Stegostoma tigrinum: one gene and its partner. The protein of the gene in region 1 interacts with the protein of each later gene in a pairwise test. Links are inferred from orthologs where the notes say so. Each region holds a gene or a part of one and is shown on either strand. Other genes may lie near its edges.

Region 1 (16,366 bases):
TTTGGGATGCAGTTGGGGGAGGAGACGAGCTGGGCTGGATTTGGGATGCAGTGGGGGAAGGGGAGATTTTGAAGCTGGTGAAGTCCACGTGGATACCATTGGGCTGCAGGGTTCCCAAGTGGAATATGAGTTGCTGTTCCTGCAACCTTCAGTTGGCATCATTGTGGCACTGCAGGAGGCCCATGATGGACATGTCATCTGAGGAATGGGAGGGGGAGTTAAAATGGTTTGCGACTGGGAGGTGCAGTTGTTTATTGCGAACTGAGCGGAAGTGTTCTGCAAAGCGGTCCCCAAGCCTCCGCTTGGTTTCCCCAATGTAGAGAAAGCCACACCGGGCACAGTGGATACAGTATGACACATTGGCAGATGTGCAGATAACTTCTTTTTCCCCACTCATAAGATTGGATAGAAAATTCCAAAAAATCACAAAGGGAGTTGTGGAAGCTGTCACTGAGTATGCTTAAGATAGAGATCGTTATTTAGAAATATTTCAATAACAAAGGGATATGGGGACAGTGCAGGAAAGAGGTATTGAAGCTTTATCAGCAATGACCATATTGAATTGCAGGGCAGGAATGATGGGCTGAATGGCCCATGCCTGCTCTCATGCTCAGTAAGATTGCTGTTTATAGCAGTGAAGATGACTAGTGTCCCAAAGGATGCAATCAGGGACACGGAACATGTCTCTTGTGGTACTCAATATCGAAGTCTGACTGTCTGGCAGCATCACAGGCCACTGTTCTGTTCAACACAACAAAGATAATCTTTCATAACAATTCATAACCCTTAAAGGTGCCAAAGTGCTTACTTTTTGGAGAAAGACTCTGCTCATCAAGGTGAAAGACATCAAAATGTTATGCCACATCACAGAAGGTACAAGGAGTGCGTGCAGAGCACAGAAACAGGAGCAAAATACTACGAACGCTGAAAATATGGAACAAAAACAGAAGATGCTGGATATACTGAGGTCAGGCAGAATCTGTGGAGAGAGGAACCCAGTGCTCCCTAAACTCTGCTCCTGCAGTGCATCACCACCCGAACCTTGGAAGACGATTCTCTCACAGCATCTGTGTAAACGTTACCAAGAGTAACACAGGTTAACTTTAACCCTCAGCAACATGTGAGTGACAGTGCAAGACCGAGGTTAGTGCTGAAGATTTTAACCAAAACAAAAAACTTGGCCCCAAACTCCTCCAATGTTTGGATTTTTTCAGAGGAAAACTGGCAGCAGAAGGTGAACATACTCCATAGAAACAGGCCAGTCACGGAAGTATGTTAATATGGCTGCTTGTCTAAGATTGCTTCCTCAGAGTTCCAAATTTAACACTGGAGGATTTCTTGGTTGTCACAGGTAACAACAACTGGATGGCAGTGGTATTAGAAACACAGAAAACAGGGGCAGGAGCAGGCCATTCAGCCTGTCAAACCTGCTCCTTGCTCAATAAATCATGGCTGATTATCCAACTCAATACCTTGCTCCTATTTTCTCCCCATAGCCTTTGATCCCTTCAGCCTAAGAACTACATCCAACATTCAATGTTTCGGCTTCAAACACTTTGCAGCGGAGAATTCCACAGACTCACCACTGTCTGGGTGAAGGAATTTCTCCTCATTTCGATCCCGAACGCCCTCCGCCGTACCCTTACAATGTGACCCCAGTTCTTGACTCCCTGGGAACATACTTCCTGCAATTACTTTGTCCAGCCTTGTTTGAATTTTATAAATTGCTATGAGTGCCCCCTCATTCTTCTGTAGGCCAATGAATACAGTCGTAACCAATCCTGTTTCATTTCAGACATCAATCCTGCCATTCCAGGAAGTAGACTGATACTTTCCAGCACAGCTTGTGGGCAAAACTGATGTCCCTGCTCTGGTTCACTAAGCTTACCTGTAATTATACAATGTCTGATTCCCAAATGGGACACATTGAAAGCATTTAAGAGGATGGGCAACTAAATTCAACAGGAAACCCACAAAATCTAACTTCCAGGACTTTGCAGGTACTAACCACCCCTCTGTTCTCTCTGTCTCATCATAGTGAGCGAGGCCAGGAAGATTTCTGAAATTACCATTTCAGCCATCCTAGTAACCCCGATTATAAACAAATAATTTAGGAGGGCCATTCACACCAAAAGATCATCATCTAAACCACACTGGAGTAAACCCAGTTAGAGATGAAAATGTTCAGATCATAAAGCAATTACCAAAGAAGGTCAACTGGCTTTACCGTAGTTTGTTTACCCAGCATGATGCTGTCACCTACAATTCTAATAGTAAACTGACTTTTTTGCCCCCAGATTCCAAGATTTCCATTTCCACTAATTTTCCCAGAAGCCCTTTGCCAGTGCAATTTGCTCTGTGAATTACAGTGTCAGATTTACCTTCTACCGGTATGAACCCATGACCCTTGCTTCACTCATTGTTCAATGCAAAAGACGACTCCAGATTTACTTCTCCCATTGACACGACAATCTTCTTTATTTCAAACAGGTTTGCTCTCAGGTATTTCCTTTCTAAGTCAAAAAGGCTAATTTTTGCCAATCTTGAGTAATGACACAACCTCCACACTGGAACGCAGCATTTCGTTCTCCCCTACCTTTCCTCCAATGCATCCCTTGCTTTCTGGCAAACAAAGCTCTGCTTGTTTGGAAATTGTCAGCTTCTGAAATGTAAAATGTGTGCTTGATATGTATCTTAACAGTTTGGATTTTAAACTAGTGGCATATCGGTTTTGGCCTGAGTCTACGAAACTGGTTTAAATGTTAGCATTTCTGCAGATTTTTTAAAACCTACATGACAGAGACAATTCCTGGGAATGCAAATGGGAATTTATTTGCATTGGCAAAGGTTTATGAACAGACAGAGTAAGCATGGAATACCATTAGCCCTCTTTGAGCTAAAGGATTAATTGGGTCATAGCATTCCTTCATACGTATTAGATGTTAAACCTTTTCTGCAGCTATTACAACATCATTGAAGTACATGTCATTCATTCATCCTAGCCATGTGCCATTCTTAAAAGCATTAAATTGTGTTATTATGCCCTTGAACACACTTTGCCTAAAGTATATTGTAATTACAAAACTGCCTCCTTCAAATCTACCGCCTCTCACAATGTAGTGCACTAACCCCTGCATCCCACTATCCGTAAGTTACAAATTGGAAAAATAAACAGAAACACTAAAAATGAACTGACTTGATGCTCAATTTTAAAATGAACCAGCCCATGGAAATCTATTACTAGTCAACTTAGGTACAGATCCAACTGATTGCACATCTAAACCAGGCTAGATTGAACCCTATTTAAGAGATGAATATTTTAAAATGTATAATACAAACTAGGAGCAAAGTAAGCTATATGGCCTCTTGAACCTGATCCACTGCCATTTAACAAGATTATGGCTGCTCTGTTTGCATTCCCAAAAACATTTGATTTTCCTGCCTGACAAGACTTAACCCCCTGCCCAAAAAATATTTAGTAGTGCTTCCCCCACAATGCCTTCTGAAGCAGATTATCTATATTTCTCATGATTTTGTAAACTCCTATCAAGTCACCCCTCAACCTTCTACACTCCAATGACAAAAATCCCAGCCTATCCAGCCTTTCCTCATAACTCAAACCTTCCATACAAACAACTAACAGCTGTCCCATGGAAACCTAGCTCTATATATTTTACCCAATCCAAAAGAAAGAGAAAGAACACATAGCCCTTGTTAAACTTACCCAGTGGCTAAATGGATAGGTAAGGAACAGGTCAGACCAGTGCATTATGGCTTGCGGAATAAAAATTGTTAACTTGATAATAAAAAAAAACTATTTAGATAACTGCAGTATCATTTAGGTTTTTTGTTCTCATTTCAGGCACTGTCATTAACAACTTAACCACAGTTACCAAATTTCTTAACCACATTCTATTTATAGTAGGAAGTAAACAAACTATTGCTAGCTATGACATAATTTTAAAAAAACAATGAAACTAAAATAAAATATCTAAAATAAAACTATATACTATAAAGTGAACGAACAAACGATTGTCATTATGAGTTATAGAAATGATAATATTTCATGTATTAAGGACAATATTCTTGATTAAAATATCAGAGAAAATCAAGTCCTATTGATTTTCTATTTCAAATAACAACACCTTCCCTTCAGATAATAACTTCAACATAATAAAACAGCCCAAAGTGTGGCCAGAAGCATAATCGAATAAAATTTGACACGCAGAGATATTACAACAGATGATCAGAAGTTTGATTAAAGGCATAGCATTTGAGGAGTATTTCAGAAAGAGATATAGGAGAAATGGCATCTGCAGTTCCCATTATCTCTGACAGAATAGGAGAAATGGTACAGTTTAGGGAGGGAAATTTCAAAGATTCAAGTCCAGGGCAGCTGAAAGCCCACATATTAATGGTGCTGCAATTAACTCAGGGAATGTGCAAGGAACTGAAATTGAAGAAACAGAGATTTTGGATGGAGTGAAGAACTGGATGCCAGGGAGGGACAAGGCCTTGTAAAAGCACCTGCACAGTCCACTGAGGCTTGTAGGTTCCGAATTTTGCCAGAAGTAGGAGACTCAGCACATCAGTATGGTGCAGTAAAGCTCACATTTCTGAAATGTTCATAGGGCTGGAATACATAGGGCAGGAATACATAGGGCAATTACCTAGGGACACTTGCAATGTCACAGTCAGCTGTCAGAACTCTCAGCTATCCCGTTTACTACTTCCAGTCGACTGAAATTGCAGGATAACACTCTCTGGAAGGACACATACAATATTCCCAATATCTGCTGACCATAATCAGGGTTTCCCACCACAGACCACACTTAGAAAACTACCCCACAGCCATTACTTCTCTCTTTGGTAGTTGCTAATTTTCTTAAGGTCCAAACGTTTCCAGCTTTAGGGTGGGAGGAAAAAAAACAATTCGAGTATGCGCATTACAATGTTTCACATTGGAACACACTTCCTTGGGTTTCATATTCAAGTGGCTATCATTTCTGCATGATCCAAGACACTAATTTTAGGGAAGTCGTTTACCCATCAGTTGTAGAACTCCTGCCTCTGCACTGGTAGACTGTGTGGTCATACCCCAGTCTATAGAACGGAGCACAAAATCCAGGCTGATGTTCCTGCAGGGGTGTGGCACCATCAGGAATCCTGTCCTTCAGATCAGCCATTAAACTGAGGAACCATCTACCCTCTACCCAAGTGGACTTAAAAGATTCTGCAGCACCATTTCAGTAAGATTGGTAGAGCTTTCCCCAGTGCCCTTGCCAATATTAAACACTCAAACATCATCACTTAAACCATTACCTGGTTATATTGCCAGATTTTTCTGTGGAGAAAATAGCCATCATGTTTCCAACCTGATAATGATGACTACACTTCAAAAGGAGCTCAACCAATTGGACTTGGAAAGGACATTTCCTTTCGTGGAGCACTACGGATCACTGTTCAAAAATAAAGGGCTATCGATTTAATACTGAAGTGCGGTGCATTTTTCGCTGAGGATTTTTGGAACCCTATTCCAAGGTAAAGGTAATGGAAGCAGAGATTTTGACTATTTTTAAAAGGCAGAGCAGCCAGGACTTTTTGCTCCATTCTGTAGATTGTTAGCAAGTAAAGGGGCAAAGGGTTATTGGCAGTGGACAGGAACCTGGAGTTGCAGTTACAATTACAATCACAATCAGATTTTACTGAACGGTGGAGCAGGCTCAAAGGGGTAAATACAGTCATAGAATCGTACAGTACAGAAACAGATGCTTTGATCCAACTTGTCCATGCTGACCAGATATCCCAAAATTAATCTAGTCCCATGTACCAGCATTTGGCCATATCCCTCTAAACCCTTCCTATTCATGTAGCCAAAATGTCTTAAATGTTGTTATCGTACCAGCCTCCACCATTTCCTCTGGCAGCTCATTCCAGACACATGCCACCCTCTGCATGAAAATGTTGCCTCAAGTCCCTTTTAAAGCTTTCCCCACTCACCTTAAACCTATGCCCTCTAGTTTTTATTTGCCCCTACCCTGGGGAAAAAGATGTTGGCTATTCACCCTATCCAAGCCCATCAGGATTTTATAAGGTCACCCCTCAACCTCAAACTCCAGGGAAAGTAGTCCCAGGCTACTCGGCCTCTCCCCACAGCTCAAACCCTCCAATCCTGGCAACATCGTTGTTAATCTTTCCGGCACTCTTTCAAGTTCAACGTCTTTCCTACAGCTGGAAGACCAGAATTGAACACAGTAATCCAAAATGGCCTGGCCAAAGTCCTGTACAGCCGCAACATGACATCCCAACATCTGTACTCAATGCACTGGCAAATGATGGCAAGCGTACCAAACATCATCTTTACTGCCCAGAACCATTTGTTTATTAAAGGAAGTCCATCGGTTGTGAAGAATTGAGACATCTTGAGTTTGTGAAAGCTTCAAAGAAATTGCAACTCCTTTTCTCCCCACCCCCCCCCCGACTGGTGGGGAAAATGGGTGGTACCTGAGCTAAGATTGCTCATGTCTGCCCTCTACATCAATCACTGGTGGAGGTCACTAACTGAATCACAAGAATGAAAATTGGCCCAATATTCCCCTTTCCTTACTCTGGAAACTGTTGATGCCCCCACACACCATGGTTCAAAAAGGCATCTCACCACTTCCTTCTCCAGGGCAAATCGGGCATGGCAATACATGCCAGTGATGCTCATAACCCGTGAATGACTGAAACGAAACACTGGCTCCTCAGGCTAAGGAAGACGGATTATTACCATTACCTTAGTCAAAAATAGCTAACTCAGCACGCATTTGGGATAAAGTCTAGAATCTTCTTCCTTTCTAACTCAATATCAAACCATGTAGCCCGTTAGGCATCCACTGGGGAGCCACAAGTTTTTTTTTGTGTGCTTTCTGATTATTTGTCCTATTCATCATTATAATAGTAACACTCCATCTTCAGTTTGGAATTCAACACACTCACTCAGTCTAGACTCGATATATCCATTCCAGGCTTACTTGCAGTTCCTTCTATGTTATAGAAGTTTCTAGATTCTGCAGAATGCGAGACTATCCATTTCTGCATTACTAACAGTGTGACAGCCTGCATTGTTCCAGATTCTACTGGGTTAAATATATTCCTTGGAGGTTTCTCATCTACTGGACTGAAGGCCTACATTTCTTTTTACAGGGTAAACCTATGAGGAGCCCAAGTGAAGGCCCACACCCCCTCCAGTCTCTCTCAGCCTGGAATCTATCCAACATGGCTCCCCGTGTTTTAGACATCCCCCCCACCCCCAACTGAATCCACCCTCCTCGTTTGTCCTAACTACCACATTAAGAAGCACTGAAAAGGTGCCAAGATCTTTGCAGAAATCTGCAGAGCGAAAAAAAATGACTATTGTTCCCACTGCAGCTTGGCCCATACATTCACAGCACAGAGCTCAAATCACATGGAGATGGACCCCTCAAACAACAAAAAACACATTTAAGTCGCCAATGTAAACATAAATGCAGACGCTACAAAGTGTCTAGGTGGAGAGCAACAACACAGAAGGATCAATTCGCTCGCATCAGATTGACAAGGGAATCCAAAATGGCAACATTTATTCTGTGCTAGCCTCTGCACAACAAACAAGTGTTTCAATTCAGCGTTACTTTACTCAGCTGAACTTTCATTCTTCGGCGCTTATATTTTCTGTTTGGTTAAATCAGGGGAGACGAGAAATAAAATCCCTTTCATTAAATTAATCGACGATTAGCGACTGATAGCGACCCGCCCGAAGCACGGGCCGTTTTGAGGCAGGTCAGAAATGCGGTAACTAAGAAACATGTTACATGAACATAGACACATTCAGGGAGAGAACGGCTATTTAATTCAATATTTAGTTCTAAAAGTTACTGCTGTTTACAGTAATCAAACAAACCATGTTGAAAAATAGATGTATGATTAAATTAACGCACTTGGGTTGAAGCAATCGACGCTGCAAACGGGGGGAACTGGAAAATTGGGGGAACTGGAAAATTGGGGGAACTGGAAAATTGGGGGAACTGGAAAATTGGGGGAACTGGAACAATTAAAAAGATGAAAAACTGAGAAACTGAAGGACATATAAAAATTGATTCAGTTCAAAACATAAAGGGTCTGATTAACCTGAGGGACTGAAATGTGAGGGTTCTGTAAAATGAAGTGTTTTCTGAACGTGAGGGGCTTCAGGCGCTGACACATTTGAGAGATAGAAGACAACGATCAATCTGAGGCAGTGATAAATGTAAAGTGGGTAGGGGGGGGTTGTTTCGTTTGTCTGCACTCACCTCCTCTGCCTGCTTTCGGAGGGATTTCTCCCTCTCGTACTGAGTCAGAAGCTGCTCGTTGTCCTCCCGGAGTAGCTCCAGCTCCACTTCGTGTTCCTGGTTCTCGGTGAACACCGAGTCTAAGTTCTCCAGCACGTTCACGACCAGCGGCATCAGCTCCTTCACCACCTCCTCGTCATATTTGTGGATGAGCCTCTCGAATTCCCGGTAGATGCTGTTGGCGAGGCCGGAGACCCGCTCGGACATGACGGACACCGAGCAGTCATCCTGATAGACCACGCCATCGTCCAGCTCCATCATCCTGGCCGCCGGCAGAAGGATACAGCCCCGGCAGTGAGCTCACGGAATGAGAGGGGAGGTGCGGGCTGAGCCGCTCTCACTGCATCCCCGCTCCGCCGCCGCTGGGGTTGGGGTTAGGTCTGGAGCCTTCCTTCCTTCCCCTCTCTCTCTCTGCAGACAATAGCGAGCGGACAGTCCGGTCCCTCCCTCACCCTTAATCCTCAAAAAAATATCCACCTCCTCCGCCCCCACAACACAAGCAGCTCCGAACGCTGTCATCTGACGTCAGGGCAGGCTGTCTGCATTGTGGGAGATCGCAGCTTCCCAGTGCAGCCAGCAAACTGCAATCAGGCAGCCTCCCAGTGCAGCCAGCAAACTGCAATCAGGCAGCTTCCCAGTGCAGCCTCCCAGTGCAGCCAGCAAACTGCAATCAGGCAGCCTCCCAGTGCAGCCAGCAAACTGCAATCAGGCAGCCTCCCAGTGCAGCCGGCAAACTGCAATCAGGCAGCTTTCCAGTGTAGCCTCCCAGTGCAGCCAGCGAACTGCAATCAGGCAGCTTCCCAGTGCAGCTGCCCAGTGCAGCCAGCGAACTGCAATCAGGCAGCTTCCCAGTGCAGCCTCCCAGTGCAGCCAGCAAACTGCAATCAGGCAGCTTCCCAGTGCAGCCAGCGAACTGCAATCAGGCAGCTTCCCAGTGCAGCCTCCCAGTGCAGCCAGCAAACTGCAATCAGGCAGCTTCCCAGTGCAGCCAGCAAACTGCAATCAGGCAGCCTCCAACTGCAACCACCAGCACAATCCACAAAATCCACTTTATTTGTAGATGTAGGCATTACTGGTAAGGCTGGTGTTGGTTACCCTAATTGCCATGAACAGATTGGTTCTCCAGGTCATTTTATGGGGCAGTTAGAAGTTGACCACATTGCTGTGGGGTTGAAGTCACATGTAGTCTAGATCAGATAAAGCCAGCAGCCTTCCTCCCTAAAAGACACTAGTGAAGTAGATGTGTTTTTACAGCAATCAATAATGATTATCAGTAGACCTTCTTTTAATTCCAAATTGAGTTGTCTTACCATCTGCTACAGTGGGATAATGAATTTCTCCCCCTCCCCCAGAATATACATTTCTGGATTGCTAGACCAGTGATATTCCCACTACATCACTGCCTTCCCGGAGAGATAAAACAGTACTTTGCTAAGCATGAAGAGATCAGATCTAAGAGAATAGTAAATACATGACAAAGATGGGATCAAAGGAAGGAAAGGTATCGGACAGAGCTGGAGTAGAGGAAAGACCCAGAGGGGCAACCAGATTCCTCTGTGACTAACCACCCTTCATTTCAATTTCATTACCTCTCCAGTGAATCTAGTCAACCTTCCCCATCCCCAGTCAATCCCTAAGAAACATATCAATTTACCTGGAATTTAACATGAGGAGGCTCGTCTGGAACATTCCAACTTGTCTGCAATGACCAGACATCCCAATCTGACCTAGTGCCATTTGCCAATACTTGGCCCATATCCCTCTAAAGACTTTCTTTTCGTGTACCCATCCAGATGTTCTTTAAGTGCCTGCACCACTTCCTCTGGCTCGTTCCACACACACACCACCCCGTGTGTGAAAAAAGTTACCCCTCAGGTCCTTTCTAAATCTTTCCCCTCTCACTTTAAACCTCTACCCACTAGTTTTGGGGTCCCCTATCCGGGTAAAAAGACCTTGGCTATTCACGTCCCTCGTGATTTTACAAACCTCTATAAAGTCATTCCTGAGCCTCTGACGCTCCAGGGGAAAATAGCCCCAACCTATTCAGCCTCTCCCTATAGCTCAAACCCTCCAAGCCTGACTGTGTCATCAGTTAAAAGCAGGAGGTACCATCAGTGTCCCACTTGTTAGTATCTACGCTGGTGCCTGGAATTGAGGAGGAATGTGCCACAGATAGTGAGTTTTTGAGTGGGTGGAAGCAGAACAACTTGTTCCTTATTAACCCAATCATCATGCACCGGGAATAAATTTCTTTCCATCTGCTGCTTCTCATCTCCAGCATCCTCTGCCCTGGTGGTTAAGGTAAAATCACCACACATTCCTACTTTTTTAATTAGGCAAGAGACAACTCATGGTGAGTTTGACATGAGGATCACCTCACCTCTGGCAAGGGGCAATGCTGAGATCTTTATGGGTAACATTAGCCAGTGCAGGAGTATAAACCTCCATTGTTAGGGTCACTCTGTATCATAAACCAGCTGTCCAGCCAACCGAGCTAACCGACTGCCAATGATGGCAGGAAAGGAAAGAAGCAGCTCAGACAAGGTAAGTAATGAACAGAAAAAGGCTGGAGGCTTTTGTTTGTGGGGTTTCACAGGGATTCAGGGGTGACACTATCCTGTCAGCAGCAGGATAACACAAACCACATCTCACATTAAAAGCCTAATGTCTCCTCTGTGAGGGGATCAAAGGTGGGAGTGAAAGGATATTAGAATTGGGCACAAGCATTCCAGTCAGTTAGGATTGGAAGTTAGAGTCCTAAAATCTGAATTTAGGAGTCAGATATTGACCATGAAACCATTGTCAATTGTCAGAAAAACCCACCTGATTCACGAATATCCTTCAGGAAACTGCCATCCTTACCAGGTGTTGACTACATGTGACTCCAGACCCACAGCAATGTGGCTGACTCTGGCCTAGACATCGACATCCTCATCGCGTGAACAAGTATTAAAAAACCTGTGACAGAGCCCTCATAACCAGACTGCATGTCAGGAGGGAGGTGTAAAAGTGTTACTTTAAAAGGATGTCAATCACATTCGGGCTATTGTGCTCAGTGCCGGGCATCTTTATTCAAATAAAGATGTTAAAGCCCTGGACAGCATGCAAAGGAGATTTACTAGAATAATACCAGGAATGAGGGCTTTTAGACACAAGGAAAGATTAGAGAAATTGCACTTATTTTCCTTGGAGCAGAGAAGATTAAGAGTTGACCTTATTGGGGTGTTTAAAATATTGGAACGATTTTGACAGGGTAAAGAAGGATATTCAGTTTCTATAAGTTGGTATGTATGGATATTCAGTTTCTATAAGTTGGTAACAGTGGGTTACAATTTCAAGATTGTCTGCAAGACAGCTAGGAGTGAGATGTGGAAAAAATTCTTTACTCAGAGAGTTGCTAGTATTTGGAATCCACTGCCTGGGAGAGTAGTGGCGACAGACCTCATATGAGGCCAGCCAATCAGGGATAGTGGAGGGAACTTGTATACAGAGGTAGGGGAGGTCCTTAATGAATACTTTGCTTCAGTATTCACCTGTGAGAGGGACCTTGTTGTTTGTGAGGACAGCATGAAACAGGCAGATATGCTCAAACATGTTGATGTTAGGAAGGAGGATGTGCTAGAAATGTTGAAAAACATGAAGATAGCTAAGTACCCTGGGCCAGACGGGATATACCCAAGGTTTTATGGGAAGTGAGGGAAGTGATTGCTGCCCCTTTAGCAATGATCTTTGCATCCTCACTATCCACTGGAGTAGTACTAGATGATTGGAGGGTGGCAAACGTCATTCCCTTGTTCAAGAAAGGAAATAGGGATAATCCTAGGAATTACAGGCTGGTCGGTCCTACTTCTGTGGTGGGCAAATTATTGGAGAGGATTCTGAGAGACAGTATTTATGATTATTTAGAAAAGCACAGTTTGATTAGAAATAGTTGGCATGGCTTTGTGAGGGGCAGGTCATGCCGCACAAGCCTTATTGAATTCTTTGAGGATGTGACAAACACATTGATGAAGGCAGAGCATTAGGTGTGGTGTATATGGATTTTAGCATGGCATTTGATAAGGTTGCCAATGGTAGGCTTATTCAGAAAGTAAGGAGACATGGGATTCAGGGAAATTTGGCTGTCTGGATACAGAATTGGCTGTCTAATAGAAGACAGAGGGTGGTAGTAGATGGAAAGTATTCAGCCTGGAGCTCAGTGACCAGTGGTGTTCTGCAGGGATCTGTTCTGGGACCTCTGCTCTTTGGTATCTTTATAAATGACTTGGATGAGGGGGTGGAAGGGTGGCTTAGTAAATTTGCCAATGACGTGAACGTTGGGGGGGAGTTGTAGGTTGCAACAGGACATTAACAGGATGCAGAGCTGGGCAAAGAAGTGGCAGATAGAATTCAACCCAGAAAAGTGTGAAGTGATTCATTTTGAAAGGTTGAATTTGAATGCAGAATAAAACATAGTAAAATACAACATATACTGTTTCCTGACACTAACCATCATGGAGACTCAAATCTGAAGAAATTACCCCTTTATGTCAAATCTTCAAGTTTGGTATGGAGGTGTTGGTGTTGGACTGGGATGGACAAGGTCAGAAGTCACACAACACCAGGTTATAGTCCAACAGATTTATTTGAAATCACAAGCTTTCGTACCACCGCTCCTTCATCAGGTTAAACTATATCCTGGTGTTGTGTGAATTCTGACCTTTAAGTTTGACTTACCTGTTTCTCCGTAACACCATCCTGTGAACTGTGAAGTCTTTTTAAATGAATACTCTCAAAGCTGGAAGCTTAGGCTTTCTCAGCTTTTAATACCTGACAGATTTCTAATCAAACACTCCTGGTTTGGAAGTTTCACAGCCAAACATTTATACTGCTTTCCTTGAATTGTCTCATACTTATTACTTGAGAGATACTGCATCTGGTTTTGACCCCAATTGTCTCCTCCAAACTGCTTAAAATTTACAACCTCTGGGTTTTCTAGCATAACATCAACCTTTGATTATTTTGAACAAAAAGCAAATTAATGGCATTCAATGATTATACTCCCTGTCATAAACCAACACAGTAAAAAACAGTTTCCATTAACACTACAGGAGCTTCATACTTTCCAACACATACTGCATTAGGTTACCTGTTTTAGAAGGATTGTCTGACATAGCTGCTTTTAAAATCCTTTAGAGAAGTAAACCAGTAATTCACAGTCTTAAAAGTACATATATACATATATAAACCAAACACTTCTTACCACATTGGATTGTAAAGTTATAAATCACACGATATTGAAGCATTGTCAAATTATCTCTGAAAGCTGTGCATTATTCAAAAGTTAGACTAGTCAGAGTCATATTTCTGTGACAGTTACCAATTTATTTGTAATAATTCACCTTGGAAAAGAAGGAATTATTAGAAAAATTACAGATTGTCTGTCAAAAAATATCTTATATCATGAAGTTGACTTTTTTTAAATGAAGGATCTATCTTTAGATCGATGAAAACCTAGATGACAACATATACCTAGACTATTAAAAAATCTTTTGATTAAATGCCAGACATAATTTGCTAAGAATAGGATTATGGAATTAAGGAATAATTTTATAGGATTGGCAGATCTATATTGAGTTGGGCGTGGAATGGTTTACGTTTCCATAATTGTGGGTAATTATTAATAGTAGCAGCTGCCTTATGCTGCATGAGATACATAAAAGACAAGCAACCATCTCCAATAGCTGTGCTCTGTCTAGCAACAAAGCAAGCAGAATGCTGAGCAAAATTACTGTGTCTTTAAAATCTGAAATCAACATTATGAAGCAGTATAGTGCTCTGAGCTGACCTCACCTTCATTGAATAACATAGTACAGAATAGGCCCATTGGCCCATCTAGTTTTGTACTGCCAAAAGTACACTCCTATCTATACTAATACCATTTTCCCACACTAGGCCCATAGCCTTGAATGTTATGACAATCTTAAGCACTGTGATCAATCTAGACCACTGACCACAAGACGTAAGCCACAGCAAGTATTATAGGAAAGGGCCATAAGGATGGTCCCGAGTGTTAGGAGAAACCTAACCTAGGCTCTGAAAAGGATACAAATGAAAGGCAACTTTGTAGACATTGTTAAGATAGCAAGTAAAATGGAGAAAATTCATCTGCAGCCTTTTTTTCAAATTAAATAACGATTTAAGATGAAAGCCCCTAGATGTAAATTAATTCAGAACTGATGTTTGGTCTCATTATCTCTTTCAGGATCTTCAATCTGAGTAACAAGGACAAAAACTACTCAGGAGACTGTTAAATACTATGATGGTGGAATTACAGATTTTCAAGGAAGAATGAGCATATGACCCTTCTGCAATTACATCTGTGGTCATAATCCTCTTTAAATGCTCCATATTTCAACTGCACCAAATTGCTCTTTGCCTGTATAGTTTCAGAGAAATACAAGCCATATTTCTCAAACTGCTGTATTAGGTATTAGAAGTAGAAGCTATAATTGAAGTTTGAGATTAATTATCCTTCATCTCACCCTGATCATTCAAGACTAATATGATTGAAGGACAGAATGTTAACTAGAATCTGTATCCTTTAAAATCTATATCCAAATTTTGAGGGTATTACCAGATGTATAACTTTAATGTTCATTATAATAGAATTGTATTCAGTTTGCCATTTGTGTTGTTGTTATACCATGTTGCAATGCTCAATTCATTTGTTGCTTTCTGTCATGTCAGTAATAAGAACCATTATTTGGCAGAATTGTCACCTAGAGTACCTATTGTTAATTAAAACTAAGTAATGGTCTCTGGTTTTGGAGTGCCATGGACAGGACCAATGTCATCTACAAGATCACCTGCAGAGACTGTGAGAAAGACAGGAAACTAACAACAACAGTAAGTGAACACCAATGGCTACAAAAAGACATTACCGATACTCGCTCGTCTCTATCTACAAGGATTGGGACAACACCAAAATCCTGGGACAAGCTAAGCAGAGATAGGCACGGGAATTCCTAGAAGCATGGCACTTCATGAAGCGTGCACATTGAAACACATTGAACGCGACCCCATCTACACTCCACTACGAAGGAGAAGTGGAAGTGAGGCAATGCATCGCAACAGACCCCAGAGTTTAAAAGCCAGGCAGGAAAACACACCGACAATTCATCGGAGACTGCACTGAGGATGTTACCCAGCATGGTAACGAAACATCGGTGAAACAATAAACCAGCTCAGCAGTGCACAAGCCGGAAGAACCCCTTACGCCCACAGTCACCGTACCAGGCACTCCATCACACAGATTAGCCAAGGAAATAGAAAGGAGACTCAAGCACCTAGTCAACAAGTCACCCGACTCTATCCACTCAGCCCAAGAATTCCTCAACTCCATCAAAGACAGATAGATGACAAAGAGGCCATGATATCGTTTGATGTCACTGCCCTATTCACATCGATAGGCATACTACTAGCAAGGGAAACAATAGCAACACTACTGGAACAAGAGCAAGACTCCAGTGAAACCATCGCCACAGACATGTTCAAACTACTGGACCTGTGCTTCACCACGCACTTCACTTTCAACAGCCAAATATGCGAGCAAATCAACAGGACACCAACGGGATCAACTATCTCTGGACTCATAGCTGAGGCAGTGGTGGAAAGACTAGAAGGGATGGCCCTTCTGCTAATCCAACCAAAACTATGTATACGCTACGTGAACGACACCTTTGTCATCATCAAACGGACCAAACTAGAGGAGACACACAAACTTATAAACAACACCCTCACCGGAATAAAATTCACCGGGGAGAAGGACTAGAACAAACAGCTCCCATTCTTGGACGTCATGGGAGAGTGTAAGACAAATGGGCAACTTCAAACACAAGTACACCATAAAGCCACACACACGGACCAGGTACTGAACCTCAACAGTAACCATCCCAGCACACACAAACAAAGCTGCATGCAAACTCTATTTAAAAGGGCACCAACACAGAGCTATGCCAAGAGAAAGAAGAATA
Region 2 (16,740 bases), on another chromosome or scaffold:
GACGTCCACTGGTTCTTGGTTTTATGTTTCATTTGAAACACCGTCCCACCAACAATGTAGCACTTCCTCCATGTCAGTGTTGGACTGCATTAGCTGCTCAAATCCTGAAACAGGACATCAGCTTGCAGCCTTCAGACTGAAGAGCTGGAAATGGTACAACTGAACCAATATTACAAAAGGCAGGAGACTTACAGAATGGATAAATCCAAGTGTATTTCCTTGTTTGTGTTGAGTAAATGACCTTGAACAGGATATGGTTACAGAAGTGGTATACACATTGAAGGTCAGTGGAGAGACATAATAGGTGAAGCATTCTGCTGGTAAGAGCTGTAGACTTTCTAGAAGACACTGGCTGGATGTCAGCAAGGGTGTTGTGTGCATCTGGGCATCATAGATCGGGAAGGATGTGAATACATTGGAAAGAGGGTATAAAAAGTGTTAACCAGAATAGTTCCAAGAAAAAGAAATTTCAGTTATAATATACTTTGGAGAAGCTGAGGCTGTTTTCCTTTGAAAGAGGCTAAGAGGAAGTTTTAGAGTAGTGTTCAAAATCGAGGTGTTTGGACAAAAAGGCAGGGAGACAGAAATTCTTTCTTATGAAAACGGACCAAAGACTGAGGGAGCAAGATTAAAATTAACTTACGCAAATGTGTTCTGAGGGGAAAAACCCACTTTCCACACTGCAAATAGTTGGGAATGCAATGCCTAGCATGGAGGCAGCTTCAAACAAAACTCTCAAATTACATTATTATTTGAGTCGAAACAACATGCGTTAGGAGAGAAAAAACCATGGCACTCAGTCATAATTCTCATTAGGAAAGCCAGCACAGACAGACAAGCTAAACAGCCTTCACCTCCACCATTGCAATTCTATAATTCCATAATCAATTCCATAGTTTAGAGGCAAAGAATATCAAGTCTTATTCCTGATCACTTTAGTGAAACACTAAAAATGCACCCAAGGCTAAGAATGACACAAAGCAAAGTTCTGAAGAGTCACTGGCCCAACAACTCAGTGATATTGCTCCCACAAGTTCATAAAACTGGAGAATGACGACATAAGAGAACTGATGGTATTAATTGTAACAAAATAATTTCGAACATTAGTTGCTACAGTAACAAATTCACTGGATTAGTCTCTAAAGTTTTGTTACAATAGGTGTTGGAATTCAAATAAACAAGTTCTAGCCATTAAATTCACTGGCATACACAAAATATTTTCTAATCAACCTATTTGGATATTAATACACATTCTGGAGCAGGTGGGACTTGAACACAGGATGCCTGTTCCAGAGGTAGGGACACTATCATTTGTACTTCTACTGACTAGCACATCACTTATTTAGCATACCAACTACCTCAATAATAGATGCCAATAAAATCTTGCTTTATTCATATTCAGACAATTTCAGAAGGGGGATGTTTAGCACAATTCATGACTTCAGTTATTAAAATTAGCCTCTGTCTACATACAGCAAGATATAGACAACATCCAGGCTTGAGCTGATTAGTTGCATTTAACAGTCCATCTCCCCTTAAACTTACAACAATGCTCAGGTCCCCACTAACATTCATGGGACTACCATTGACCAGAGACTGAACTGGACCAGCTGTATACATGCTAAGGCTACAACAGCAGATCAGAGGCTAGGGATTCTGCACCAAGTAACTTACTCCCCAATTCCCCCAAAGCCTGGAGCACCATCTGCAAAAGGCAGAAGTCAGGAGGGAGGTAGAAAACTTTCCATTTGCCTCCACAAGTGTAGCGCCAACACAAACTTGCCTCAGCCCAGGCAAAACTGCCTCCTTGATTGGCACCGTAGCCACAAAGATTCTGTTCCTCCACCATTAGGGTAGAGTGGAAACCAAGTTTATCACCTTCAAGATGCACTGAGGTAACTCACCAAGGCTTGATCAACAGAACCTTCCAGACCCACAAACTCTACCACCTTGGAGGGCAAAGCCAGTGGATGCACAAAAACACTGCCAGCTGGGAGTTCAATCCAAGTCTTACAGCATCCTGACTTTGAACCATATCCCCCTTCCTTCATAGTCATTGGATCATTATCCTGGAGCTCCGTTGCTAACAGCACAGAGAGTGTACCTGCCCACATGGGCTAGAGTCATTCAAGAAAGTGACTCACCACCACCTTCAAGAGCAACTGGGAATGGGCAATATTCGCTGTCCTTGCGAATAATACCTATATCCTGTGAACAAAAGAAAGACATTTCAAACCTTGGATCATTTAATAGAGATTTTGATTTGGCAAAATGATAAAGAATTACAGGCAGGATTTTTTTTAATGCTTATTTTCCTTCTCCCAAAAAGTATCCATATGCCAAAGTGGCATGATGACCCCAATGGTCCTTAACTGGTGCATTCAGCATTAACAAGACTATTAAAAAGAAGATAGGCTTTCGAAATTGTTTTAGCTGGAGCATTCCGTGGTTCCATGTTTATTTTAAACCAACTGAATTCATAACATGGAGTTAATGAGGGCAAACTGTAAAAGCAAGAGGATTATATAGCTCTGTTTACCAGTCACAAACAGAAGGTTATACAAAAGTAACAGGCTCTGCTGGGCTGGATATAACCAAGCATATGGTTTAAATAGCTGACTATTTATATGCAGAACACATAACATTCCCCCTACCCATAACATTAAACACAGCATGCAGATTTAATGGAACCAATGGTTAGGCAACCTTTGAGTAACAATTTCAGTAGTGCAGTTTAAATAATCTTCCCACCCTTAAATGTTACTGGAAGTGGTATTAATTTAGCACCTTGCTCACATTGGTGCAGTTCTGTTTACATTGCATTTGCAGTAATCTACGCAGTTACAGTTACTCCGCTCAGATGGTCATGATTTAGGAAAGTAGCATTTCAGGATACTTTGTTGGCTGTGGACAAATAAAATGTTCAAAACTGCACAGTATACATCGGTATAGGGTAATCCTTATACTGTGCTCAGAGTTAGTTCAGTTAGTTGTTATTGCTGACCTCAAATTTTATAAACCTCTATAAAAGGGATATAGATCAGGCAAATAGGAAAAGGTCTTTTCCCTCGTGTAGGGGAGATCAAAACTAGAAGACATAGGTTTAAAGGAGAGAGGGGAAAGATTTAAAGGGACCTGAAAGGAAACTTCTTCCACACAGAGGTGGTGCATGCATGGAATAAACTACCAGAGGAAGTGTACAGACAGGTACAGTCACAACATTTAAAAGACATTTGGACAGGTAGACGAATAGGAAAGGTTGAGGGAATATAGGCCAAATGCAAGAAAATGGGACTAGTTTAGTTTGGGAAACCTGGTCGGCATGGACAAGTTGGGCTGAAGGGTCTGTTAATGTACTGCCTGATTCTATACATCTAGAATGATTAAATTATCCTAGTACTATAAAACTAGAATCGCTGTTTTAAACTAAATTTCAATAAGATCAAACATTGCTTCAAAAAGCTGAAGAGGTGCCTTTAATACCCATCTACTCAAATCTTTCTGCTCCATCAGGGTATTTTCCAACTTGTTAAAGCAGCACTCCCAATTCCCAACTTTGCTTCATTACTGAACCTATTTCAAAGCTTCAGGACAGAATTCTGCTTTTCAATAATTTATCGAGCCAGGGCAATGCTGAAAAGTACAGGAAGGAAGAGGAAATTCTATTCATCTCCAGCATTAATCCATGTGTCATTCAGATTAAAGAAAGCCATTTTTCCACTTGTACTGTAGTAACTAATAATAGCTGCTGTACTAGCAGCAAAATAGCTGGAAAGAACTAAACACTGACATCTGTACAACAGATTCCTAATGGTGCTAATTTATCAGAAAGTGGTGTTTATGTTTCAACAGCTGTCTTACGCACAGATGCAGGTCCATCTCTGAATCAGATATGGAGATATCTGGGTGAATACAGCACACATTGACTTACAGGTTTGCAACAGGATTGTGTGAAATATTTCAAAACACTACATCTCGAGCATGTATTTCAATAATTATAGCTTTTCAAATGCGATCCATACTAGTCACCATTCCCCAACAAAACTTCACTAAAGACTTAGTTCAGTATTGCAGAGTTGATGGTAGCATGTCTTTGAATTTGAAGCATCAGCTTATGGTTTCAAACTCGAGCCCAAGACTTGGGCACATAGCCCAATGCATGCTGCAAGTGTGCTGCATTGCCAGTGTTGATAAATTTCTCACAATGACTTTTTTTGGTCAACACACCTAAAAGCACTGTCATTATCTTGAATTATTGTTCCAAATATCAAAAGAAAAATGCTACTAATCATTTACATTATTCACAGGTCACAAAACTTTGCAAAGTATATTAATTAGATCAAGAAGAAATAAGAATTAGGAAAATACACACATGTATCCTTGAGTTCATTAAAACTGTTAATAATATAAATTTTAATTGCAGAAAGGAACTAGTCTTTCCAGTGTAATAGACAAAAATAAGTATAAAATATTCCAAGTTCTGAAAAAAGTCACATGAGACTTGACATGATTTTTCTCTCCATAGATGCTGCCAGACCTGCTGGGATCCTCCAACACGCTCTGGTATTATTTTAGATTGCCAGCACCATAGAATTTTGCTTTTATGAAAGTATTCACATTGACACCTTTCTTGCCAGTTTGAATAGGACAACATTGCACTCAGAACAAGCCAAGAGCTACCCTACTCCCACGGTCTCACAGAAGATGAGCATTAAACAATTTAATACTCCAATCAAAGTCACTAAGCCACCGTAGCTTTTCACTTGAAATTCTCACTGGCAGAAAGGCACTAGTTTAGATACTTACGCAATAATGAAACTCTTCACTGCTTTGTGCCTTGAACAATCGTAGAAACTCGGTCAAAGCAGATAGCTAACAGCACACCAAAACACACATACACACACAAAACAGGTTACACCACGTGAACCGTATCCAATATATATGCAGCCAGAAAGTCTATCATAAATCAAGCAATCTGTAATTTCACGCACACTGTGCACGCGGGAGGATTAGACCAAACCATTCCCCCAGGAACATTTTATGATGTTCGGAGTCTGATTGCACACGACTTTCACATCTGTAACGCACCCTTCACCCTCACACCCCTCCAATACATGCCTTTGAGATTGAACCACTACAGTACAGTGCACATCAACCCAAAATGACCCATAAAAGTGAACGGACATCATGAGTTAGTTATGAACAAGAATTGGAGTGAAGGGGGCAGTTTATAACCTCTCTGATAAAGTCGTCCAGGGCATTCTTAAAATTCCGTCCAGGGCCCTTCGAGAAACTGGGAAATTTGGATCGCAATATGGGCTATTACGTCACAGCCCGAGGAGGAGTCGGTCAGTTTCAACCCGGTTTAAAAAGCAGCTTTTTAAAATAGATAATCGGAATAATCATTAGCTATCGGAGCAATCCAAGGCGGATAGGGCCAGTGATTAACTGGAGTGCAAAAGATATTCACAAATAGTGAAACTGACAGTTTTGGTCAGTTACACACATTGTCACGTTGCAACCGCAAGAAACATGTTGCTGTGTCTCCATTTGTAACCGCGCGTCGTGTCTTTTACGTCGAATTCATTACTCAGCTTTCAGCTTCAAATACAGACAAACATAAAAGTGGAATTACTTCAGGCCCAGGAACATCCGACCAATCGGAAAGAGACACACAGACATTTGTAACAAAAGATCCCAAATGTAACACTATCCCCAAAGTTGTTCTATGCCGAGCAACTTTATCGACTTTCGAACAGCTAAAGCTAGCTCGTAAACTCGGATGGCAAATAAACCTACTTTTGTGTTTGCTACTTCCCCAACTTTGCTTTGCGATGCTGGGACTTCTTATGATCGCTCGTCCCGCCGACTTTAACGCATCCATTATTTATAAACTACTCTCCACGGAAGGGAGGGAAAAATGCAGAAATATTTTACTGGAACCCTCAAGTCAGCCTCCTCTTCTCCTTCAGACACCTCCCATAAACTTTCCAACCCCCTCAATGGAGTTTCAGGGAGGTGACATTTATATGAAACACTACCGCCCACTCATGACGCAGCACGTCCCTGACATTGCGTTCGCCGGTCACTTGTTGAAAGTCGGCTCCTTCAGGACAGCGCGGAAATTCAGAACTGTCAGATCCAACAGGATGTAAACTAATGCGTTGAGGTCATCACACGGGTTGGTCACGGTTGATAATTCATCGGTAGGTCCGAGCCCCTAAAGCGAAAGCGCTCAGTTTTAAAAAAAAAACAGATAAGTTGACTGCATTATAACACAGCGTAGAGCTGGATGAACACAGCACTCCAGGCAGCATCAGGGGAGCCGGAAAGCTGACGTTTCGAGTCGGGACCCTTCTTCAGAGAAAGACTCATGAAATTCTGATGAAGGGTGTAAACCTGAAGCGTCAGATTTCCAGTTCCTCTGCTGCTGCCTGGCCTGCTGTGTTCATCCAGTTCTACGCTGTGTAATCTCTGATTCCAGCATCGGCAGTTCCTACTAACTGTGAGATAACTTGACTGCAGTTGTTGTCAAATTATGTAGAGTCAGTAGGTAAGGTGGAACATCAACGGAAATTGCTAGAAAGACTCAGCAGGTCTGGCAACAACTGTGTACTGAAGCGTCCTGGAGAAGGGTCACTGGACCCAGAACATTAACTCTTCTTTCTGAGTTAACCTTTGAGTCCAGTGATCCTTCTTCAGAACTGCCCTCTCCACAGATGCTGCCAGATCTGCTGAGTCTTTCTAACCATTTCTGTTCTTGTTTCTGATTTCCAGTATCCACAGTTCTTTAGGGTTCTTATAGGTTTAGTCGATAAGCTGGGTTGTGCTAAGTTTGTTAAAATTTCATGATATCCTTCTAAACCTTAACCTCTCTGACTGCTCTGAAGAAGGGTCACTGGACTCAAAACATTAACCCTGTCTTCTTCCCGCACACACTGCCTAACCAGCTGAGTTTCAACAGCAACTTCTGTTTTTGTTTCTCTCTAATAAGCCCTCATACACACATAGCCAACCTGACCCACTCTCTCAATTTCCACTGAAGGGTCACGGTGGGGAAGCACTGTCCTGGAGGCATTTCAGCATGTGACAGCTTTGGTTGCCATTTTCCTTTTTTTGGCACAAAATAAGTGTCACAGATGTTGCAAATTGTGACTAGCCTATAAAATTATTGCTTAGTAGCTCCCCTGATGTTGCAATAGCTAAGTACACTACATGACTACAGATTGTGTTATTCTCATTGATACCATCAGGGCAAGTAGGTTGAAACATTAACTTTCATATTTTCTCAACAGATATAGCCAGACCTGCGCAATGTTTTTGCATTGAAATTCACCTCAGTTTAAGGAGGTCTAGGGTTCGTGCTCGAATTGATGTGCATTGGCTTATTGTTGAAAATATATATGTATAGATACTCAATCTGTGGCCTGTGATCACCAATCCAGGGTTTTTCCTCTGGTCCAAATAAGGAGGTGTGAAATTGCATGCTGGTGAATGTAGAAGCAGAAACACCATTTCTGGTAAGGGAGGAACCATGGTGCATGGTGATGCAATCACTAGAGAATTGCCAATCAGGTTTGGGGTTGGTGGGGGAGAGGGGGGAGGTGGAAATTGCTTCAATAAGTGCATCAGCCCCCAGTGATCACACAGATGCACACACCCTATTCATTCGTATCTACTTGCAGCATTAAACTATGGTGGGAGAAAACTGAATATAAAATAGACTCAGAGAAGTGGGAGAAATTGCTCCTAAACTACATTAGTTGTTATATCCTGCAACATAAGTAGTGGTATACACATGGCCAAAAATAGGATGATGCCAATTTTTACTATTATCCAGGCATTTTCACCATGTAGACATTTGCCATAGCTCACCTGAAATCTCAATGCACTACATACATACAAAATGCTGCACTCAAATTTTACGAGAGATCATTTTCACTGCAGATTCCAATTCAAGATTTGAAATTTCAGACAAGATTCTGATAAATAGAAATCTGCTCAATAATTAGAGAAATTATCAACTCATTGTATAAATTTCCTTTTTAAATCATATTGAACAATGACAATTGGAACTTGCTGTTGTCCACACAATAGCCTTCAAGGGTCTAGGCCCGAAACGTCAGCTTTTGTGCTCCTGAGATGCTGCTTGGCCTGCTGTGTTCATCCAGCCTCTCATTTTATTATCTTGGAATTCTCCAGCATCTGCAGTTCCCATTATCTCTGATACTATATTTTGAGTATCAAAGTTTTAATTTAACTTCTTTCATGGTATGTGGTTCTGGCCCGACTGGGCCAGCATTTATTGCTTGTCCCCAGTTGCCCTTGAGGAGGTGACAGTGAGTTGCCTTTTTGAACCCTATGATCCATTTGGTATAGGTAGATTATTTTGAACATTTAGGAATCAGAAGACATAATAAACAACATTAAAGTGAGCATATATCTTTTTTTCCAAGAAGCAAGATCCAGTCATATGAGGTACAATTCATTATCTGACTAAAAATGGAATACGTACATGAAGAAATAGCTGCCTATTATAACTGATACCTTCCACAGCTGAAATTAAATGCACAAAGTTAAGAGTATTAGTATATTATTTTGATTTTCTTGGCAAGGGGAAAGTATTGGATCTTCCAATTCCACCACCACCATCAGTACCCAGTTTTGATTTAGAATATCAATCAACATAAAGATGCTATTGAATTGTATCCTCTTCACAATTGTCTCCACCTAATCAAATTGTGGCCAGAGTTTGTGAGGCTGTTTCACCTCTACCCAACCATTAGAGAAAATAAAACGTCTCTGTGCTAAGCCACTGATGACATTTTACTGAAATTAACTTGAAACTACCTCACCCCAACTCCATTCCCACCTTCTCAACTGAAAACTGAAACAACTGCAGATGCTGTAAATCAGGAACAAAAGCAGAAGTTGCTGGAAAAGCTCAGCATTTCCAGCAGTGTCAGTAAAGAAAAAAAATCACAGTCGTACAGAACTGTTCTGAGGAGGGGTCACCAGACCCAAAATGTTAACACTGATTTTTTTCCTCACTGACACTGCCAAACCTGCTGAGCTTTTCCAGCAACCTCCGCTTTTGTTCCCATCTTCTCAACTTTCAGTTGGATACTGAAATCCTCAATTTGTGAGAAATCACTCAATCACAGACTGCAAAACTTGTTTCTAGTTATATCCTTTAAAAGTATTTCTTTTTAAGTTGCGTCACCATTCTGAATAACTGCACACGTTTGCTGCTGTGACTTTTGCAAATGGAACTTAATGTATTTGCCTGCTTACCCTAGACAAGAATTTTAATATCTTTAGATTTGACAACTATTTTTATAATAATGAATGCTTTCCATTGCTTTCCAATTACCAATGGCAAAGCAGAATAATTTTTAAAGTGTATTTGAACTTTCAGCACATTTGAGACAATTGTTACCCATTTTGTTTGCAACAAAGTACAGCAATACTGCGCTAGATTCCATGCAAAACTAATTACAGTTCCTGTTATATTAATCTAGAATTGTGTTCACACACATACATTAAAGGAAATGGCTGGTAATATTTTTAATGATGTAACATGTGTTTTCGTTTTGCAATGTGATAAACATGTATGTGATATTGTGATAACATTGCAAACGGAACAACTTCACAATATTTGTATAAACATATACATGAACCACCTCTGATTTTCCAGTTGTATCTAGACATGCTATTAAACTATTAACATCATCTTTTAGGAAGCTTTATTCTGAAAACTCTTCTTAGCTCAAATATATTTTGACCCCTTTTCAATAACAATCTTACTCATATCTTCGTCAACAAATTGGATGTTTCCGAACAACTTTGGTGTAGCTAACGATAAAGTCACATGAGTTGCATCAGGGAGTCAGGTTGTTGTTAGAATCAAAGAATGATAGAATCCCTGCAGTGTGGAAGCAGGCCATTCAGCCCTTCAAGACCATACTAACTCTCTGAATCCCTTCTAGACCCACCCCATCCCTACAATCCTGCATTTCCCATGGCTAATTCGCCTAGCCTGCACATCCCTGAACACTGTGGGCAATTTAGCATGGCCAATTCACCAAACCTGCAAATCTTTGGACTGTGGGCGGAAACTGAAGCAACCGGAGGAAACTAACGCAGATAGAACATAGAACATAGAACAGTACAGCACAGAACAGGGCCTTCAGCCCACAATGTTGTGCCGACCATTGATCCTCATGTATGCACCCTCAAATTTCTGTGACCATATGCATGTCCAGCAGTCTCTTAAATGACCCCAATGACCTTGCTTCCACAACTGCTGCTGGCAACTCATTGCATGCTCTCACAACTCTCTGTGTAAAAAACCCGCCTCTGACATCCCCTTTATACTTTCCTCCAACCAGCTTAAAACTATGACCCCTCGTACTAGCCATTTCTGCCCTGGGAAATAGTCTCTGGCTATCAACTCTATCTATGCCTCTCATTATCTTGTATACCTCAATTAGGTCCCCTCTCCTCCTCCTTTTCTCCAATGAAAAGAGACCGAGCTCAGTCAACCTCTCTTCATAACATAAGCCCTCCAGTCCGGGCAGCATCCTGGTAAACCTCCTCTGAACCCTCTCCAAAGCATACACATCTTTCCTATAATAGGGCGACCAGAACTGGATGCAGTATTCCAAGTGCGGTCTAACCAAAGTTTTATAGAGCTGCAACAAGATCTCACGACTCTTAAACTCAATCCCCCTGTTAATGAAAGCCAAAACACCATATGCTTTCTTAACAACCCTGTCCACTTGGGTGGCCATTTTCAGGGATCTATGTATCTGCACACCAAGATCCCTCTGTTCCTCCACACTGCCAAGAATCCTATCCTTAATCCTGTACTCAGCTTTCAAATTCGATCTCCCAAAATGCATCACCACGCATTTATCCAGGTTGAACTCCATCTGCCACCTCTCAGCCCATCTCTGCATCCTGTCAATGTCCCGCTGCAGCCTACAACAGCCCTCTACACTGTCAACGACACCTCCGACCTTTGTGTCGTCTGCAAACTTGCTGACCCATCCTTCAATCCCCTCATCCAAGTCATTAAGATACAGGGAGAAAATGAAAACTCTGGACAGACGGTCTCTCAAGGATGGAATCAAACCCAGATCCCTGGTGCTGTGAGGCTGCAGCACTAATCACCGAGCTACCATCTCACCCAACCAGCAATGCCCTGTATGATTACCAGGTTTACAGTTAACTGCTACAGATTATGAAGAAACATTACCTGAAGCAACAAGAATTTTGCAAACTAATTTTATTTGAAGAATTACACCTTAATTTTAAATTGCTTTTGCAGTACAATGTTGATGGGCTGGTCAAATACATAGAAGTATGACAAATTTAGTTTAATCCTGAAAAGTTTGAGGTGGTTCATTTGGGAAGACTAACAAGGCATGGTGGCACACAATGTATGGTAAGATCCTAAGAATTACAGAGCATCAGAGTGGTGTACATGTCCCTAGAACCTTGGTGGCAACAGTAGATTAGATCACTTATAAGGTATATAGATTACTTTCCTTTATTAATCAAGGAATTGAATATGAGAGCAAGGAGGTTATGGTGGAGCTGTATATAACATTAATTAGGCCACAGCTGGAATACTGTTCATATTCTGATCACCACACTATAGAAAGAATGTGACTGCACTTAGATACAGTGCAAAGGGTATTCATCAGGATGTCACCTGAATGAAAGAGTTTCAGCCATGAAGAGAGAGCAGATCAGCTGGGGTTGTTTTCCTGAGAACAGAAAAAGCTGAGAGAGGACCTGACTGAGGTGTATAAAATTAAGGAGCATTGATAGAAAGAAACTTTTCCCCTTAGTAGAGGGATCGGTCACAAGGGGACATAGATTAAGGTAAGGGGCAGGGGCTTTCAGGGAGATTTTGGCAGGAAGGTTTTCACCCAGAGGCTTGTAGCTAACTGGATCTCACTGCCTGAAAGGATGGTAGCGGTGGAACCTTCAGAGCATTATAAAGTATTTAGATGGGCGCTTGAAACACCATAGCAAACAACGTTACAGGAAAACAGGCCAAGAGCTGGAAAATAGGATTTGATTAGTAGGTGCTTAATGGTTGGTGTGGACACGATGGTCTGAAGAGCTCCTTTCCCTGCTGAAAACCTTACGCCTCACAAATCAAAGCTCTATGATGTCTATGTTTTAGAATTATATATTTAACTTGATGATTTACATTGCTATTGAGGGCTTATTATGTCTATAATATTTAGAAATTATGACTTCTAGAAATGTTGAATTAGAAAAGACTATATGCAATAATGTTAGTTTATGGCTCAGTTGATAAACATTTAGATCTAAAAAAATGGCCTTTATCACTCCCTTTTCATGCAGTTACATGTAGTTTCAATTACAGCTAAAAATATGATTATAGATCCAACCTCGGAAAGGTAAAATCTAGAAGTGTAACTATTGAATGAACAGTTTTGACAAAATGTAATGTTAAAAATAAAACCTGTCTGAGTGCTTTCTCTGGAGCTATTGTGGAAGGTCCACTGCACAATGTAGGCATTGGAAAGCCACATTACTAGTTTCTAAAAGCAGTCAAGCAAACACTGTCTGCTGTTGCTAGGTTTTTTTAAAATATTTTGATAGACCAACATTAGCGATCCTGATGCTTAGATTTCTGCACAGTCAGCTGCACCCAGTAAGTGAATTTGCTGGGATTCATTCGTGTGAGGAGCTGGGAAAGCCCAGTATCAAACTGCCTCACCAGACAGTGGCAGTTACACATTCAGTTCCAATTCCCATTATCAAAACAATTACCATTGCCATTACATTGCCATAGGACAGTATAGAAGAAGCACTCCAGATGACGCCAAGATTTGATTCTCAAATCTCCATGAGACAGCTACACTATTACAACACAGTGATGCTGGTTATGGCAGGTCAGCTACTTGTCACCATTTGGATAGAATGTGATTCTACCTTTGGTACTTTACTTTGAACTTGCTAATCAAATGTATTAACATAGTTTAGGTGGCACCTTTTTCTTTTTCATTGCTGGTTTTCACTATGTCTGTCACCATTATCCTGTTAAGGTATTACATTTCTGAACATGTAAAAGTAGAGAAAGTGAGTGTTTTAGTCTGCGTTATGATTATAATGTTAGAAAAATAAAACTCGGGTTTCGTAACAAATGTTGGCCTTGTCAGGAATGCCCAAATCTCATGAAAGAGTGAAGGAAATACATTTTTTATTTAAAACTGGACAAAAAAACATTGCTGAAAAAACAAGATTAGCAGGTCACAGCTTGTACACTGAGGTAGCATTTGGCACTGATTCAGCAAGCTCTGCCTTGTACTTGAAAGAACTTTGAAAGCTGTTTGTGTAACAACCTCAAAATTTCTGTAACCTTGCAAGGAAAGATTGATTTAGACATTGTGTGCAACATCTGTTGTAGAGGTCTGAAACTAGCTTTTGGCTCACATGGGTAAGCCTCCAAGTCTTTCCTGGAACTAAACATTGCCTAATGGTGGGCTTGTTTTATGCCAAGGCTGACTCAGAGAGTAGAATTCCCTGTTAGTACATGGTTTTTTTTAGCCATCTGTGTTTTGCACAGAGCACCAGCATTTTGGGAGTGGTAGCTACATATCAATATTTTAATTGGATTTTGCTGGTGACATCAGCATCCTGGGCTCTGTCAGACCCAGAATACCCTGGACACATATGAAAAGTTGCAAAACATGAGGATCTGAGGACTGATGTTGGGGTTGGAGCTGAGCCTTGCACTAGTCTTGCCTGAGAATTTGTCGTCACAATGTCAGTGCAAAAGCAAAAAGCTGTAGATATTGGAAATCCAGAATAAATGCCGACAAAAGCTGGAAATACTCAGCAGGTTGGGAAGAATGTGTGGAGAAAGAAACAGAATTAACATTTCAAGTCTGTGGCCTTCCATCAGGGCAGATCAACCTCAAACATTGACGTCTTTCTCCCTCTAGAGATTCTGAAGGGCCTGTTGAGTGTTTCCAGTTTTTTTTAATTTAATGTGCTCATTGAAAAGCTGTCCATTTATGATTAAATTTCAGGGAGTATTAGAAATGCACTTTAGGAGCCAGAATGAGAGACAATGTAAACATAGAGCACATGTGAATAGGTAAAGGAAACAATATAATTGTGTATGAATTTAATGCTGCCACAGAGGATGTTTCGTGGATGGTATGTCCACATGGGGTTGCCTGCTGCATCCCAGAGGAAGGGATTGTCAGCCACTCAATACCTGTTCGAGGGACCCAGCATCAGGAATGGAACGCCCACTAACAGCCAACCCCTACCCTGTCATACAACCCACCATGGCCTCCCCTTTCATCAAACTCCTCCATGCCTTCACTCAGCTGTGACCTGGGTCTCTCACTGATCCTGGACTCGGATGGGTGCATTACCAGCAACCACCACTGTTCCCAGTGGTGCTGCTTTCAAAGGAGATACATCAGTATTTGATAAATAGTCCTAGAGGAGCCTTGATCCCAGGGAAGGCCTGGAACTGGTTACTAAAGAATATAACTGGCACAAAACACAGTGTGCTTTCCCCAAAGAAGGTGGATGTGTCCTCCCTAATTTGAATTAGATTCTGTCCTTTTTTTTCACTCTAAGTGATGTCAACCTACTCATTCACTTGTTCAGTCTGTAATAAGCAATGTCTAACACAAAAAATAAACCATTTAGTTCAGGAGGTGAACGATCAATGTTTCAGCCCTAAAGAATTCTAACCAAGCAGAGAAACTCCAGAAGCAGCTCACACCAGTCTGGAAAATCTTCACACACCCAACTCCATTTCAGAACAGTGGGGATAGAACCCTGTCAGCTATAGTAGGCTGCAATGTCCAGAGCATTGGGTTTGGCATCATTGCTACCAGAATGGATTGAATGAAAAATATGCAGAAATATATGACCTCCTTGAACAAAAATTAACGGCCTTAATTACTGACAGGACAACCAAAGTTCACAAGTCAGCATTCCACCAGCTCAGGGCTGAAGCTCAAAGCCAAATTTGTAACATAAAAGGCAAGCAATGGGATGAGAAGTGCAAGAAATCCGGCGATACACCTCGCACAAATGAAAAGCCTATTTTGAAGCCATTGGGACCATCTATTGACCAATGTCAAACGGACAATATCTCTTCTGTTTCTCTATGTGGCTCTTTTCTTGAGGATGACAACGCCATTCATCAATGCTGGAAAGATGGAAAGAACATTATCGACAAACCTTTGACCATGAATCCACGTTGCCAGGCAATATTCTCCAGGCTATCACCTCGGTACCCTTTGCTAGAATCCATGATGAACCGCCATCAATGGATCAAATGGATGATAATCAGCAAAGCCCGCAGTCCTTGTCATAGCAGCTGAGGCCTTCAAAGTTATTAGGCTTCTGCTAGTAGGGAGAGTCCACATGCACATCCTTTGCCTGGAAGGCGAGTGAACTACCCACACACACACACACACACACACACACACACACACACACACACAAACACACACACAGACAAAGACACACATGCACACACAGTGTGAAGCACCACACAAGGATCTCTTCAATCTATTCATCAATATGACCGAAGCATTTGGCTGAGTAAATTATGAGGCTGTGTGGACTGTTCTCCAGTGTTTTGAATGTTTAGGAAATGTCATCACAATCCTGCAGTTGCTTTGTGATGAAATGACTGGAACTGTTCTCAATGGAACATCCGAAACTCCTTCAAAGCCTGGACTGCTGTCAAATATGGCTGTGTGATAGCCCCCATACCGGGTACACCATACGTGGCAGTGATCATTCATTTAATCAAAGATCGACCTGAGCTGAGAATATTAAATCAGTCAAGATGAAAAACACTTTAACCTCAGTCACCTCAGAACACAAACCTAAACTAATCATTATAGGATCAGAGATAATGGGAACTGCAGATGCTGGAGAATCCAAGATAATAAAATGTGAGGCTGGATGAACACAGCAGGCCCAGCAGCATCTCAGGAGCACAAAAGCTGACGTTTCGGGCCTAGACCCTTCATCAGAGAGGGGGATGGGGTGAGTGTTCTGGAATAAATAGGGAGAGAGGGGGAGGCGGACCGAAGATGGAGAGAAAAGAAGATAGGTGGAGAGAGTATAGGTGGGGATGTAGGGAGGGGATAGGTCAGTCCAGGGAAGACGGACAGGTCAAGGAGGTGGGATGAGGATAGTAGGTAGATGGGGGTGCGGCTTGGGGTGGGAGGAAGGGATGGGTGAGAGGAAGAACAGGTTAGGGAGGTAGAGACAGGTTGGACTGGTTTTGGGATGCAGTGGGTGGAGGGGAAGAGCTGGGCTGGTTGTGTGGTGCAGTGGGGGGAGGGGACGAACTGGGCTGGTTTAGGGATGCGGTGGGGGAAGGGAAGATTTTGAAACTGGTGAAGTCCACATTGATACCATTAGGCTGCAGGGTTCCCAAGCGGAATATGAGTTGCTGTTCCTGCAACCTTCGGGTGGCATCATTGTGGCACTGCAGGAGGCCCATGATGGACATGTCATCTAAAGAATGGGAGGGGGAGTGGAAATGGTTTGCGACTGGGAGGTGCAGTTGTTTGTTGCGAACTGAGCGGAGGTGTTCTGCAAAGCGGTCCCCAAGCCTCCGCTTGGTTTCCCCAATGTAGAGGATGCCACACCGGGTACAGTGGATGCAGTATACCACATTGGCAGATGTGCAGGTGAACCTCTGCT

What was found.
Region 2: the proteins of mapk8ip3 (region 1) and ldlrap1b interact in binary tests that used the Homo sapiens proteins (3 or more experiments, as listed by UniProt). The two-hybrid records come from large-scale screens. The link is inferred for Stegostoma tigrinum from reciprocal best matches to the Homo sapiens genes MAPK8IP3 and LDLRAP1.

Annotation. Positions count from the first base shown.
Region 1 is NC_081376.1:48,615,715-48,632,080, forward strand, and holds the start of mapk8ip3 (C-Jun-amino-terminal kinase-interacting protein 3), read right to left. Parts: upstream 8,966-16,366; 5' UTR 8,613-8,965; coding exon 8,313-8,612; intron 1-8,312.
Region 2 is NC_081377.1:25,457,517-25,474,256, reverse strand, and holds the start of ldlrap1b (low density lipoprotein receptor adapter protein 1b), read right to left. Parts: upstream 6,135-16,740; 5' UTR 5,885-6,134; coding exon 5,800-5,884; intron 5,305-5,799; exon of another isoform or gene 5,236-5,304; intron 1-5,235. UniProt on the Homo sapiens protein: Adapter protein (clathrin-associated sorting protein (CLASP)) required for efficient endocytosis of the LDL receptor (LDLR) in polarized cells such as hepatocytes and lymphocytes, but not in non-polarized cells (fibroblasts).